Linked DNA regions of Styela clava. Each later gene encodes a partner of the first gene's protein in a complex. Links are inferred from orthologs where the notes say so. Each region holds a gene or a part of one and is shown on either strand. Other genes may lie near its edges. The genes, in order: putative cytosolic iron-sulfur protein assembly protein CIAO1 and cytosolic iron-sulfur assembly component 2B-like.

The links.
Region 2: the proteins of putative cytosolic iron-sulfur protein assembly protein CIAO1 (region 1) and cytosolic iron-sulfur assembly component 2B-like are in contact, whole or in part, in a crystal structure (PDB 6TBN), measured with the Drosophila melanogaster proteins. The link is inferred for Styela clava from reciprocal best matches to the Drosophila melanogaster genes Ciao1 and galla-2. Residues at the interface, in NP_610996.1 of Drosophila melanogaster: Arg16, Trp18, Arg60, Thr61, Arg63, Phe79, Glu105, Lys107, Arg123, Asp150, Lys152, Tyr168, Asn170, Ser195, Thr196, Trp198, Thr216, Ser248, Gly249, Gln250, His251, Ser252, Arg253, Tyr256, Gly272, Asp273, Asp274, Arg277, Glu299, Gln304; in NP_648416.1 of Drosophila melanogaster: Ser74, Pro106, Lys109, Thr111, Ala124, Lys127, Gln128, Asp131, Lys132, Glu133, Arg134, Ala136, Ala137, Glu140.

The regions. Positions count from the first base shown.
Region 1 is NC_135252.1:24,219,144-24,227,008, reverse strand, and holds putative cytosolic iron-sulfur protein assembly protein CIAO1, read left to right. Parts: upstream 1-4,628; 5' UTR 4,629-4,650; coding exon 4,651-5,652; 3' UTR 5,653-7,788; downstream 7,789-7,865. Other genes in the region: adenylate kinase isoenzyme 6-like, read right to left, coding at 1,410-1,473; uncharacterized protein LOC120342056, read left to right, coding at 7,821-7,865. UniProt on the Drosophila melanogaster protein: Essential component of the cytosolic iron-sulfur (Fe/S) protein assembly machinery. Required for the maturation of extramitochondrial Fe/S proteins.
Region 2 is NC_135255.1:15,933,574-15,940,949, forward strand, and holds cytosolic iron-sulfur assembly component 2B-like, read right to left. Parts: upstream 2,316-7,376; 5' UTR 2,277-2,315; coding exon 1,806-2,276; 3' UTR 894-1,805; downstream 1-893. Other genes in the region: organic solute transporter subunit alpha-like, read right to left, coding at 374-516, 748-802. UniProt on the Drosophila melanogaster protein: Component of the crb-galla-Xpd (CGX) complex which is essential for proper mitotic chromosome segregation in early embryos. The CGX complex is also required for cell proliferation in developing wing disks.

The DNA.
Region 1 (7,865 bases):
CCGCGGGACTGGGTTTGGACCACCCTTTATTAAACATTCAGGCTGTACTTTTAAAACACTCAAGCTTATTAAAGTTCAATTTCACTATTCTAGCCACCGGAAAAACCTCGCACAGCACGTCGATTACAGACTGCCTTCTAAAAAGAATGGTGGTCTTATGTAAAAGTCGAATTACAAGCCAATTTTTTCTACATTGTGTCATGTTTCACTGAAAACCAATCATAGCCTTACGATGGTGTATGGTTGTAAAACCGCCTACAACGTTGCCGGCGGATTACAACACAGGCCCAACGTAGTTATGCTATCGACAAATCTGGGTAATGGCTAATACTACCTGATACAATATATACCTTAATTCAGCGGTTCCCAAACTAAGGGTCAAAAGGAATCTTAGTGGGTCGTGAAAAGATGTAAAAAGCTTTGATTAATTATACTGGTTATTAGGATCGGTGGCGACTCGAATACGTAAATCTTTAAAAAAAAACAAAAATAATAAATTGAATTTAAATTCTAATCTGTGACAGTTTCATTTTCACGATCTTCTCAAAGGAACAAAAATTTGCTACACAAAATCCTAGCAGTTCATTCATCAAAAATAAAATTACATTGTAGAAAATCACGAGATGGGTTGCCATAAGCTGTAGTAATAAATAGTGCGTCCCAACTCTAAGAAGTTGGGGAACCACTGCCTTAATTTGAATGTCTTGAAAGGATGGAAATATAAAATTTAATTTTCTATCTTCTCAATACTCTGTACACTGATACAGTAATACATATATCTGTTGTAAATTAAAGTAATGTCTAATTTGCCCCATCTCTCAGTGGTATTGCGATAAACCAAAGATATTTAGAGTCAAATTTAAATCTTGATTATTCGACAATATTTTTACAACGTGATGCATCAATCAATACAAAACCAAAGCGTTAATATCAGACCTGCCTACAGTTTTAATTATATATAATATATTATATAATTTATCTTAAGTTTATTGGGTTTACTTATTTCGCAATTATCTCTGTTGTTATGTGTGTGTGTGAATTAATTTAATAATTTTAGGTGAGTGAACACGTACCAGTTCTTCTTAGCCAAACCTTCCATCTTATATTCTGTACGTTTTAAACCTTATCTAAGGTTTTGTTTGCTCTCCTGATTCTATAATCGGTTTATATTTTTATTATTCATTTTAATTCCTGTTATGCAAATTATGGAGCCGAAATGACCTTATACTTATTATTTTAAAAAAATTATTTATTTTTCTGTTATTGTTCGATCAATTGATTGTTTAATTTGGTGATAATACTGGAATTAAAACAAATTAAATTAAGATAAATTGTACCTAGTAAACAAAAATAATAGTGAAAAACGAAAATACTTAAAATCGAAAACGTTATATATATAATCATCTTACCGGTTATTAAAACATTTGGAAGTTTTCTTTGGTTCATTTTGAATGTACTTCCAGCACAAAACATTCAGAAATGACGCCAATATGACGAAACTCGTAGAAACTGACCAGAACGAGTTGATCTGATGTAATTGTAAACAAATGTGACTCCACATGGAAACTCTAAAGTGACTCCTTGTGGATCAAAAATTTTTCCACACAAACCGCTAGATGACGACATTGAGTCGCATGTGAATTTCCGATTGATTACATTTCAGAAAATTGGAATGAATTTATTCAAGTTCTAATTTTTATTTTTCACCAAATTAATTGTTGGGAATACCTCAGAAATTGGGCGACCTTTTAACAATGTCATGGCATTATCCCAGTGCCACTGGCACCATAGATCACGTGAACAAAGTTGGTAAACATGACTTTTGCTTTTGTCCACTCTCAGACAATTTCGTGTTTTGCTGCTAGCTTCACAGAGGTCTCTCAGACTCTGTCTGTAGAAATCTTCAGTTTTTAGACAAATGATACATATTTTTTTTTTATTATGTTTGTTTACTATCGATGTGTAAGTCATCGAGTTCTTCTTACTTTATATTTTCTCTGTGTTTGTGTGGGCGCGTGTGCAAACTAATTCAATTATTTTAGGTGAGTGAACACATAATTTGGACGTTGTTTTGCTAGTTAGTAGGGTGGTGTAGCCAGTCTGCGGACGATTTCATTCAAACCGCGACGGCGACTAAAACAAAAACCAATATTTCCAACCCGTTAATTTTTTCACCGTAGGTGCATTGGCATTTATTCTACACGCTGAACTTCTACGACCAATTTCTAATTCTACGAATTAACTTTCTACGACCAGGGGTTAAAGCTATACAAACCACCAAAGTACGACACTCTGAAGACGTTTTTGCGACCGAACGACCAGTGTGCGATCACGAATTTCAAGCCTTGAACATCGTTTCTGCTGCGTCGAGACTAGGGCATACGCAGCCATGCGTGAAAAAATGGGCTTCTAATTGCATTTCTGACCGTCATATATTTTAAGAACACAGTTATTTCAAACAAAATTCTTCAAATTATAAACAAAGCGCCGCATCACAGCAATCAAACAGACAAAAACACGGTGGTCGCAAATTTGTTGACAAAGATATTATTGACGTATTGGAAATGCGCACCCCCCTACTCCCCCTCCTTTGAATGTAGAAACGCGAAACTTTAAAGATGGTTAAAAGAAACACAACTCTTCCCACCTGCCAAGTTTCATCTCTTTATCTCTTATATTTGTATGGATTTTTAAGCTTTTCCGAAGGAACAATGGGTAGTTGGCGACATGGTAAAATGGTCCGTTTTTTTTCTTCGGTCAGGTTTTCAGTCGTAACTTTTTTATTTGTGGTCGCATTTTAGTGTAATTTTGCAGAGCTACGAGGGATAAGTGGACGATAACGTGTGAGAAATATCGTCGCGGTTCGTTAATTTTTTCGGCATTCGTTTAATCGATGAAGTTGATGGTCGCAGATAGGTCGTGGCCGCAAAGTGGGTAAGCCACCCTACTTCTAATTGTTGAGTGAAGCAGGTCTAGCTCACCCCTTCATATATCCAACTTGGCAATTCTGATTGGGCAATTTGGCATTAGGTGACTCCAATTATAATCAGATTGACGATATCTTTCAAGGAATACTTTTCTATCCACAGTTGATTAGTCTTGTTGACTAATTCGATATCCAATTCGGCAATCTTCATAAAACTATTAATTTGGTGTGGCAAATGAGTTTACTCATTTTTTTCCTTTGTTTGTATATTTTTCTTTTTACTTTTAATTGATATTTGAGTAATTTAATTGATTTTAAGTCTCGCTTTTTCCACTTCCGACGTTATCATGTTTCAATGATTGTAGGTGCGTGCCTTAATTAATTTTTTTACTTTTGGGTGAGCGAACGCATACTACTTCCTTTATCAATACCTTTCCATCTAAAATCTGTACGTCTATGTAAAATCTAGCTAATCATGTAAAAACTTTTAACTACAAATTATTGTGGAATATTTTACCGCTTAAACCAATGTCAAGAATTAGATATATTGCTGGAGATGACCTATGTGTATTTTGGGACAAAGAAGCTGAATTTATAACACATTTATTCTGGAATTGCTCATTTGTGAAACAATTGTATGATTATGTTTTTTCTATTATTATGAAAATAACTAACAGTGGCAACTTAATAAATTATGAAACATGTACATTATTAGATTTAAGACACAATAATTATATACATTTGACCAATATAGAAAAAAATGCTATTATTTTATTGATATGTACTGCAAGATATAAAATTTGGTTGCAAAGAAATGCAGTGATTTTTGAAAATGTAATGCCAAGAGTGAATAATGTAGTCAATACTATAAGAAATTCAATAAGGTGTAGGAGAAATATAGAACGACTGAGAAATTTACCTAATTATTGTGAAGAACTTGATTTATTATGCAAATATATATAAAATATAACTAGAAGTGTTTATTGTAATGAAGTGGAACTAATTCTTGAAATTTAAAAAAAATAAATAAATCTGTACGTTTTAAACCTTACTCAAGGTTTTGTTCGCTTTCCCGATTCTATAATCAATTAATTTTATCTCTTGTTTTATTGTCTAATGCTGATTATGGAGTTGAAATAAACTTATACTTATTATACATACTGACATACCGTGCGGTACCACTTCTTCTTGGCAAAACCTTCCATCTTATATTCTGTATGTTTTAAACCTTATCTAAGGTTTTATTTGCTCTCCTGATTTCATAATCAGTTTTTTATTTATTTGTTTCTATCAATCATTTTATTGCCTGGTATGCTGATTACTGGATTATGTAGTCGAAATAAAATCATACTCATTATGTTTTGTTTACTTTAAATGTACATATTCTAAGTAATCTTCTGGTGCACTTGACCGAAAATGAGTGGCATTGACATGTTCATTGTTGGAATTCAACAACTGTTATACTTATCCTCCTAATTCAGTAATCTTTTCAGTATATCACAAAATAATATCATTCTAGGATTGCGGAAAGTTTATATCTCTCCCATTGCCATTTTTTTCTATCGCAAACCGAGTAATTAGCAGACGTAGAAAAACAAGTATAGTTTGCCTGACGAATATGTTTTTTGAAAGCCATACTTTATACTTTAAATTTACATAGTTTATGTCTTCATTTAATATTATTTTTTTTATCATTTAATAATATATTATAAATCAGCCCTATAATGTCTATCCGACAAATTGCAACGTTAACGGGACATGGTGATAGAGTATGGGGTGTTCACTGGAATCACACAGGAAAGCATTTGGCGTCTTGCAGCGGCGACAAAAGCGTGCGAATTTGGGGGCTGGAGGGTGAAAAATGGGTCTGCAAAACGATTCTCGAAGAAGGCCACCAGCGTGCAATACGAAGGGTTGCTTGGTCCCCTTGTGGGAACCGTTTAGCGACCGCAAGTTTTGATGCAACAGTTTGTATTTGGGATAAAAAATCAGGGGAATTTGAATGTATTGCAACACTTGAAGGACATGAAAATGAAGTCAAAGCTGCAGCCTGGTCCATTTCAGGGTCATATCTGGCAACATGTTCTCGGGATAAATCAGTCTGGGTTTGGGAAACCTATGATGAGGATGATTTTGAATGTGCAGGGGTCGTGACCTCTCATACCCAGGATGTAAAAGAAGTAGTATGGCATCCTAATGAAGATATTTTTGCTTCGGGTAGCTATGACGATACAGTGCGGATTTTTGAGGAGGATGACGGGGAGTGGGTTACTGGTGCAGTGTTAGAAGGTCATGACTCCACCGTGTGGTCAATTTCTTGGGATAAATCCGGCGATCGATTAGCAACAGTCTCAGATGATAAAACTTTAAAGATATGGAAACGCTATAAATCTGGCAACCCTCAAAATATTGTGACAGGGAGTTCAAAGTATTCATGGAAATGTATTTGCACTCTTTCTGGATTTCACGAAAGAACGATATTTTCCGTTGACTGGTGTCATCAAACGGGACTCATCGCTACAGCGTGTGCCGATGATGCTATTCGAATCTTTAAAGAAGATGAGAAAAGCTCTTCTGATGAACCGACTTTCAATCTGTTGTGTTCGTATAATCACTCTCACGCGCAAGATGTAAACTGCGTGTCCTGGAATCCCGCTCAGCCGGGAATCCTCGCTTCAGCGAGTGATGACTGTGAAGTTAAAATTTGGAAAATTGATGATGTTTAATCTTTTTATGAATTTTAATTCAAAACCTAATGGGAGAGTGGAGCCGATAAGAGGGCTTAATGGGTGCTCCCGAAGTATGCGAACCAAGATGGGCGGACATCGGAACGTAACATGGGTAACAGGTTATGGTTAGGCGATGATTTTTTTCCAATTTTCCTTATTTTTATCCTATTATCAGTTCGAAGACTAGCCAAGAGCCTCCCGTAGTATTTATAGCTAAAATTATGGCCTAACCCTAACCTAGTACACATTACATTCCGATGTCCGCCATCTTGGTTCGCATACTTCGGGAGCCCCGCTTAATGATATGGCGAACTATGGCCTCTCGACCATGCAATGGTGTTCGAGATTATCAATGGCTTTTAAAACTTATCCTAAGGGGAGAGGAAATTTGATAAGATGGCTTAATCATATGGAGAACCACGGCTTCTTATCTGGTTATCAATCCATGTGATGATTTTTAGGATTCTTCATAATATTTATTACTCATCCATGTTAATGGGAGATGAAAAACGGTAACGTGGCTTGATCACACAGTATGCTGTGTTGAGGCAGCTTGACTCAATTTGAATTGGACTCGAGTTATCATTTTTTAAAGACTTGAAGTGACTTGGGGCGTTGACTTTGATGACTGTCTGGTTGTATCACTCTCTCCAAAATAATTTATTACTTATTATTATTATTTTTTTTACGATGACTGTTATATTATTTTGGTTGACGAAAAAAATAAATCTCTCCTCTCTCGTCGAAATCGGTGATTCTCAAACCGTGGCCCCTTGGGCGAAATGATTTAATATGGCCCATGCCCATCGGACCTAATTGAAATAGTCCAACACTTTATAACATATATATTTTTGCATTCTAATTACTGTCAATTGTTATGTCATTATCGCAATTTTTAATGCATGTGTATATCATAACAATTTGATTTTCATCTTTTGAAAGTACTGATCGTAATGAAGTGATTCAACAAATGGCCAGTGAGACTTAATGCAGGAATTGACTAGACTTGACTTACATTTCTAATCTGGTTTTCGTTCCGAATCCAATTTTTAAGGAGCGTTGTCCAAGGCTAAAGACAAATATGACCTATATATAATATTCACAGTTTGTCATATTGAGATCTGAGCCTTCGGCCCAGTAACCAAGTCTATTCTCTGTAACTGACCCACTCAGAAGAGTAGTTGCCCTGCCTTGAAAACCAATCTATTCTTTTATATGCTGTTCACTCTGAACAAGGCTACATTACTGCTATTTTCCCCATCTTATGTGGTCCATGGCATCTTCTGGAATTTACATGTCTGGATCTTCATGTGTTTCGTGAAACTTAGTGTAAAAACATATCAATTCAGCGACCCATACCCTATCTCCATCTTTTTACACCGGAACCTGGGATATGGACGTGCCATAAACTGACTATTGTACATATCGTCGTTGTGCCGTACCTCTTTGTCTTGTGTATTTTATTTGTATAGTAATTTCATGTCTGTTGTCCTAGTATAACGCAGCAGTCCTAAACATGCATGTCGCACATCTGTGTCTTAGGCCAGTAAGGTCTTGAACATGTATCCAATCTCTGTTTTACTCTTTAATTATTATGCAGCTACTGTTACTTTTTTGAGGCAAATAAACATACATACATACATACTTTTAGCACTCATGGCCCCCTGTCCATCATTCCAGTGGTATTTAGAGTGTAATTTTATTTGGTAGATTAGTTTGACACCTGACATTGTGGCCCAACTGTTCTGTGGCCTTCCTGGGGAGGTATGGCTTCCTGGTTGGGAACTGCTGTTATGTAGTTTGGAACGACTGGTATATTTCTGGTTTGGCCCTGGGTGAGGCGCTCATTTATAATTATTCGAATGATAATTTTTAATCATTGAGGCATATCTGGTCAGAATAAGTTCTATTCAATTTAGTAGGGTATAATTCTGTCTAATTGTTTTTGCAAATATTGAGGTGTTCAACTGTTTATTTTTCACTATTAGTCAATGAGGCAAATCTGGCCAGAATATTTGCTTCTTAATCAAAGGGCTTAAGTGCTGCCACATTTATTCATTTCAAGAATATTATTATGATCTATCAGCTTTCCCATTTAATAATTTTATTGCTTTTTTTCATTTTTAAATTCAGCGAAAATTTTGTAAATAAAATCAAAAATATAAATGGAGACGCAAAAAGGCGGGAATGGTCGCGGTTCAATAAACCCA
Region 2 (7,376 bases), on another chromosome or scaffold:
CTTTTTGTATTGTTCATTCATAAAGTGTAGTTACATACTATATTGTTACATATTAGTATGGTGGAAAAATAAATTACTGATTCTAGCCAGTGGAACCATATAAAAAAAAAGATTCTATCCAGGCAATGGCATGTTTTTCCATGAATTTGGTTTTGAATTGTATAGCTGAGCGGTGTTAGGTCAAAGTTTATCTAAGAATTATAATCTCAATTTATGTCGCTAACCAAAAATTATTCTTTAAGCAAAATATCCTTTATGTGTATATTAGGTCACAGCTAATGATGCACAAATTTAATACAGACAAACATACATAATACCGGTAAATCATATATTATTTTGACATATAACAAGCAATCTATGGCGTGAAGTGTACCTGTATAATAAGAATACTTTGCAGTCTTGATGAGGTTGATGATTCACGTTTAAAATGAAAACAATCGTTTAGGAATATGAAAATGAGAAGCAATGTCGTCAATCCTTCAAAACAAACTGCAACTGCTTCGGCTGTCGATATGTCTGAAATAAAGAAATAAATTTTTTAACATACATGCAATTTAATTTAAATTCCTGCTTTTCTGAAATTATCGAATATAGTAGAATAGTATAAGACAGATGTTTTTATACCCATCTTCAACTAAATATTCACATTTGAATATCAATATTTCATCTTAGGAGACAAAGTAACTAAAATTCGTCACATTATGAATGGTAAAAAAATCAGAACACAAATAAAAAAGCACTACTTACGAGCGAAGAATGTTGTGATATTAGGACTAACATTATTTGAACAATTGTTTGACATTTTTTGTGAAAGGAGTTGGTTATATTCATTATGTCCTGCTAATAATTCTCAATGTTTCAGCTATGTTATGAGCATATTGTATAGTTCCAAATCTAGGCAAAAAAATATACAGATAATATTAGCTTGAAGTACTAACGAACTATTTAAGTTCCTCATTAAGGTAAAAATTAATAAGTATTGAATAAATTACTCGTTTACATTTAAACCAGCAATCATCATCATCATATGAGCACTTTTATGTGAAAGTATTTTGTAAATTTTAATATGCTATGAGTAACCTAGCAGTTATTATAACTGGCATGGCATTGTGACTACAATTATAGATCTACTATTGTTGAAATCTATCTACCAAAAGCTTGAAAAGCAATTGCATAAACTTGACTCAAAAAAATCCGCAACATGGCGACGGCATTGCATTTGTGAGAATAATATCAGAGATATAAATCATGGTATAAACACGTTCGGCAGGATAATGAAGAAGTGTTCTTATGGACAACCATAAACAAGACCATGAGACTACATAAAGCTTTTATGACCGTTTCACTGCTGGAAAATATACAAGTAACATAAATATCCACTACATCAGTCGCTTAATTTTTCCTGTCTGCTGAATTAATAAAACATGTAAAATGAAGCATGGTGGTAAATTGGCAGTCATGCTTTGATACCTATTCAGTTTCACACATTTTGATCTAAAATTCTACAATCATATTTAGTCACAGGATTAACTGTCAAAACTGTTCAATTAAAAAAAAAAAAAATTATTCTGCAAAGTTGTTTTTCACGTGTTTACATGAATATGCCTCTGCCCGTTCCAACGGTCTGGAAAAGAGGTGTTGTTATCCGCCATGCATCGAACCAAAAAAATACTAAAGTGCTCCACACCACACATACACCGCACAATCGAAAACATGGAACAACTTCTTCCCCATTCCAACACGCATGAAATATGTATATACATATTGAAAGAAATGTCAGACAATTCTGTTAAACAACTATTTTGTTAGTTTTTCACGGTCAAACATTGATTAACAACACCCAATAAATGATTGTTTTCAAGAGCTGCCGCTACTCTTTCTTTGTCTGCTAGTTGTTTATTAACTGCAGTCTCTGATTGATGTGTTCCTTTCGCAATTTTTATTTCAACTTTGAACCTTGAAGGTAAAGCTCTTAGAAGTTGTACTCTGATTGCTAGTCCAATTAATGTAGCCATGCTGCAATGAGGTATTGTTGGAGTAAATGAAACAATGACGGAACTAGCTTTATCATCAACAAAAATGTCTTTTTCATTCACAACTCTCAAGTCTTCCAAAGTAAGTGGATGCTCTGGATCATTGATATCACGAATCAAATCAAAAATTTCTCTGGCATCGATTTCATCATGAATGTCGTCATCTTGGTTTTCTTCCCGATATCTCGGAGTCTGAGATTCATGAACTAGTGGATTAGCGTTGTCTTTAGATGAGAAGTTCATGCTTTTTACTGTTATAACTGTATAACATAGAGAAAACAAATTTTGAATGTCATTAACGGAATTTCATTTCAGTAAAATTATGGTGTTTTTGTAGCAAATACAAGTACAACCAAGAACTAAGTAAAGAATCTTAATCCCCATGGCTGAGTACAGAATAAATTATCTCATTGTGTATTGCTGTACTGCTCAATTCAGATATTACAGCGGCTCGACAGTGTTGTGCACCATGATAAGCGTTAGGAATACAGGAATACCGGTACCACAGCACCACACATCTGATTACAATGCGTGGCTTTGCAGGTTTGAATCTTATGCGGGGTTACTATGTACGCGAGGATTGCTCGACTCCTCGGTATCACCGCTGTGAAGCTAGTAGAATTTGACCTTTGTGTGCGGCGAGGCGAAAAGGTTAAAATTCTTGGCAGAATTAAGTGTATTCATCTGAAAACAAATGACTGGTTTAAGCAGTCGTACTGTCTTTCCTCACCGGCTCACCCCCGGGATAAATATGTAGATCCTACTGTCCTATCCGACAGTATTATGTAAAAATTATTAAAATAACAGAACCACATTATTTTCGGGTCTAGTGTAGTTTCGTACCTAAAGTACTTCTAGTGCTGTAGTGGGTGTATAATCGGAAGGTATAATACTAAGGCAGGGGTGGGCAACCCCTGGCACGCGTGCCAAACTTGGCACGCGAGTGCATTTATTCGGCACGCGAGCGAGGCCTTGGGGCGCAGGGTTCACCTGGCTATATTCTCACGTAATATAGTTCATTATGTGTCGCCCTTTTTCGTCATTTCTGCTTGATTTGTGAAGTTGTACAGCTCATATCGGGTATAGTTACTGTTATAAATTAATTTTGAAAGAAATATATATAAGCGATAAGGGAAGCGAATACAAGAGAGAAGTGCGGAAATCGGGATGCCATTCGCGAATTTTTCGTGTCTTAAAAACTTTGCAACTGCACTACTCTCCATGTTTTCATCTACATACTGACATATGCTTGTGAATCTCTGTTCTCAGTTATAAACCTTATTAAGTCTCGCAACAGGAGTAGCCTGAAAGATGAAACCAGTAGTTCGTGTATTTCTTTGAAAGTTACAAAATATAAACCCAATGTGAAATCTCTATCAGCGGTAATGAAGCAGCAAAAGTCTCACTTAGATAGAATAAGAAAAGTAATTAAATCTATTTGTCGGGAAGATACTTACACTAATAGTTAATCTGTCTGTACATGTTTAAATAGTTTATTATTGTGTATTTTTGCTTTGAAAGTAGCAAAGCATTGTTTTTAATCTTGGCCGGCACGCGGCGGAAAAATGTTGTCATTAAATTTAACCGATTTTGGCACGCTAGACGAAAAAGGTTGCACAGCCCTGTCCAAAGGCCTAAGCCAGGGGTCACCAAACTACGGCCCGCGGGCCGGTCCGGCCCGCAATAACACGCAAACATTGCTAAATATTTTTCCAAGGGAGATTTTCCCGAGCATCGTCTTCCTTGTTTAATTCGTAACATTGGCCAATCTGCAAGATGCAAAAACGTGACGTAATAATATTTCTTTTCGCTTCCGCTCAGACACTTTTTTCACCCTGATAGATTTTCAGTCGTGGTTGTAAACAATATTTCGTTTTTGCGACTTTAAATGCTATTCGTTAGTTTTTGGTTGTGTTTCGGAAATTTAAGTATGAATCAAATAAGTCAATCATCATTTGCGTCCTTAGGAGTTGTAGTTTTAATAGTAGTAAGGAAAAATTAGTCTAGGAATAGCTGTGACATAATAGGCTAAATTTCTCTACCGGTACGCGGTTTTCTAACACTGCATAACGGTACTTAGCAAACGTGATGCGTATATTTTTTGGCGCGAAAAAGCGGATTTTGAAAATTCCTAATTCACGACAGAAACGTTTTGATACCAGCTAAACTCAGGATAGTTGTTTAGATATTGAAATCTTTCATATTTGTTTTCCTAGGATGTTCCTGATCTATATTCTGCGATATACATAGAATTTGAATCAAGTCTTCAGAAATGTAGAAGATATATTGTTGAATGGATTTCCCAACTTTTGTGAATTTATTATATTGCATTGACAAGAATATTCATCCGGCCCGTTTCAACACAGTTTGAGTCATACCCGGCCCGCGGTCAAAAAAGTTTGGTGACCCCTGGCCTAAGCTGTAGAGCAGGGGTCGGCAACCTTTTGTCGCTCAGGGGACAAAAAGTTAGAGTTGCAAGTGATTGTCGGGCAGCCCATATTTTTAGAAACCGAACGAACGCATCCATCACTAGAATATAGATTTATTTCCTCATTGCATTGCATCTCAAAAAATTCCATTGAATATTTTCGGCGCCATCGAACCCTTTGCACTTAGCTTGAACTTTTCTGCGTTTTGTTGCCATTTGTCTAATTGTAATTAAATTATTAAACGAGTAATTGTAAATTTATGCTTGTTGGATTATAATATAATTTAGTCTACACGTGTCTCACAATAAATTCTGTTACGTAAAGAATATAATCGCCAAAACAACTGTTTTGTTACTATAATTGGGTGAAGTGTCGCTGGCCGGATTATATTACTTCGCGGGCCGGAGGTTGCCGACCCCTGCTGTAGAGCTAAAGGATGTTTCCCCGGGCATCGATTTCCTTGTTTATTTCCGTAACAATTACAAATCAACAATACGTTAACAATGAAGTGACAGTTGGAATTTATGCCGTGGATCAGACAGATATTCAAACACGGTTGTAAACGTTCCCTCTTTTGGTAGTTTTGCGTGTTGTTCGCCAGTTTTAGTCCCTCTGTCACTTTTGCCGCTGCGGTCATATTCGACAACAATTATGGCATTTAGTTATTATTAATAGCATGCAACAATCATGCTACATTAATTGGGAAAGTACAATCAAGTAAGAAGACGCGTATAAAAATATAAGTTTATTTTGACCTCAAAAACAGCATAAGAGACGATAAAACAAAGATGAAAAAAAAAATGAATAAAACTGATTACAGAATAAGGAAAGCGAACACAACCTTATTAAGTTAAGTTCAAAACGTACAGATTTTAGATTAAAAGATGTTGTCAAAAGAAATGGTACGTGTTCGCTTTCCCTCCCTTACTCGATTTTAAAAGTTTTATTATCGTTACCTACTTGTTATCTGTAACGTTGTCAATACATTCAAAATTGTACTTTTGGTACTCCCGAATAGCGGACACCGTAGGCCTAACCCAGTATGCGTACCAGGTTAGGGTTAGGCCATAATTTCACGTAATAATACTACGGGTGTCACTTTGCTATTCCGCGAACTCGTAATAGCACTAAAATTGGGATAAAATTATGGCCTAAACCTAACCTGGTACACGTAGGCTACTATGTTCTGGTGTCCGCCATCTTAGTTCACATACTTCGGGAGTACCGATTTTTTAATATAACTAAATTAACAATTTTTGAATGCAGTCGAACATATCTGAATGCTTTGATAATGGTTGCCTGTGTTAAGAAAACAGAAACTTAAGTACGCTAAAAACGATTGCAGTGATTTTACCCGAGATGCCGCTTTCACGAACCGTCTCGGACCAGTATCAGTTTCATACGTTCATACAGTTACGTTCCACTCCTGTGGTTTCCGTTTCATAACATCCCTTGGGTCGCCAGATGGTAATTTTTAAATCTATGCTAACATTCATCGGTGGGGTGTGGGGCATATAAATCTTGGCAGATTTATTGACTTGTTGGCCGTAACGGTGGTTCTCTCCAGCCTTGCTGTAGCTCGTAAACCTGGTCGAAATTGTGGGTAGAATTATATTTGAACGTTGAACTGCCGTCGGCCGGTTAAATGTAATCGTTATAATGGTATTTTTAAGCTACTAGTTATGGTATTCGGATATCAAAAAAGTTGCACTTATTGTTAGATGTAGACAAATATAATTTATTGCTTCCCTACGTTGACGCCGTCTAACTTCGTTGGCATAATTCGACCAGATATAAATCACAAAAAAGCTAGGAGGGGGCTGATAGGACAAGAAGGCAGCTATCATCAGACATGGGGGCATGTTAGCAAGTTGGCCGGACTTAGGTAGGTGACGCATTGATGGTATGGGCAGACGTATGGAGACTCTGGAAGGCGGGTTAGTTATAGGCAGGTATGGTCAGACGTAGGGAGACGCTAGGAAGCGGGTTGGGTGTAGGCGGGCATCTCGGATGGGACACCAGAAAGTGGGTTGGGTGTAGGCAAGCGGGTAGGGTGAGACATAATAGACGCTGGGAGGTGGGTTGGGTGAGAGATTGAGGGGCACCATGAGGCGGGTTGAGTGTAGACCTCCACATGTGAGGGGTAAGAAATGAATTAGGTGATGTTGTAAATATGTAAGGGTGGGAAGCGGGTTGGGTAGTGCCAAAATAGCATTAGCTTGGGTATACAGTGGAGAATCAGATTAAATGGCTTATTTGTTATGATAGAACATAAAAATTAGCTGTCTTATCAAAATATCCCATATATTTGCTTCAAATAATGGAAATCTTGCTTCAACTCATCAGAAAACCTGTGTTTATTTTTCAGCCTTTTGATGATTCAACGACCGGATAGATAGATGTTAAATTAACGCAGGGTTTATACTTCGTATCATAACTGTAACATGGCAATACAGTAGCTCTATCTCTCTCATTCTGAACTAGTAAAGTGAGTTGCTAATCAGTGGTAAATCGGATGCCTCCATTAAAAAAGATAAACAATTTTATATTAATACTAAATTATTGTAATAAAATATAAATAAAAAATTATTCATGACTTCCATACTGTATGACCGGAACCTTTAGGACTACCGTTTGGGACGGTGGGGAAGCTTACTAAAATCGGTTAAACATATGGTAAGGCTACTTATAAAGAAATATGTAGATCTCGCCATCATGAGTTTGCATTTGAAAATTCCATAGGGCAAAAAGATTGCGGCAGTTAACGGTCTACTAGAGGGAAAAGTTGGTGCGATAGGCATTGAAGTCGCCTCGTCAGTTTGCCATTGATTGTGTTCATTTGGAATTCATTACGTTATATAATTCATTGCTGATAGTTAACTGTCAATTTATCTTAGAGGCATGGTGACATCAG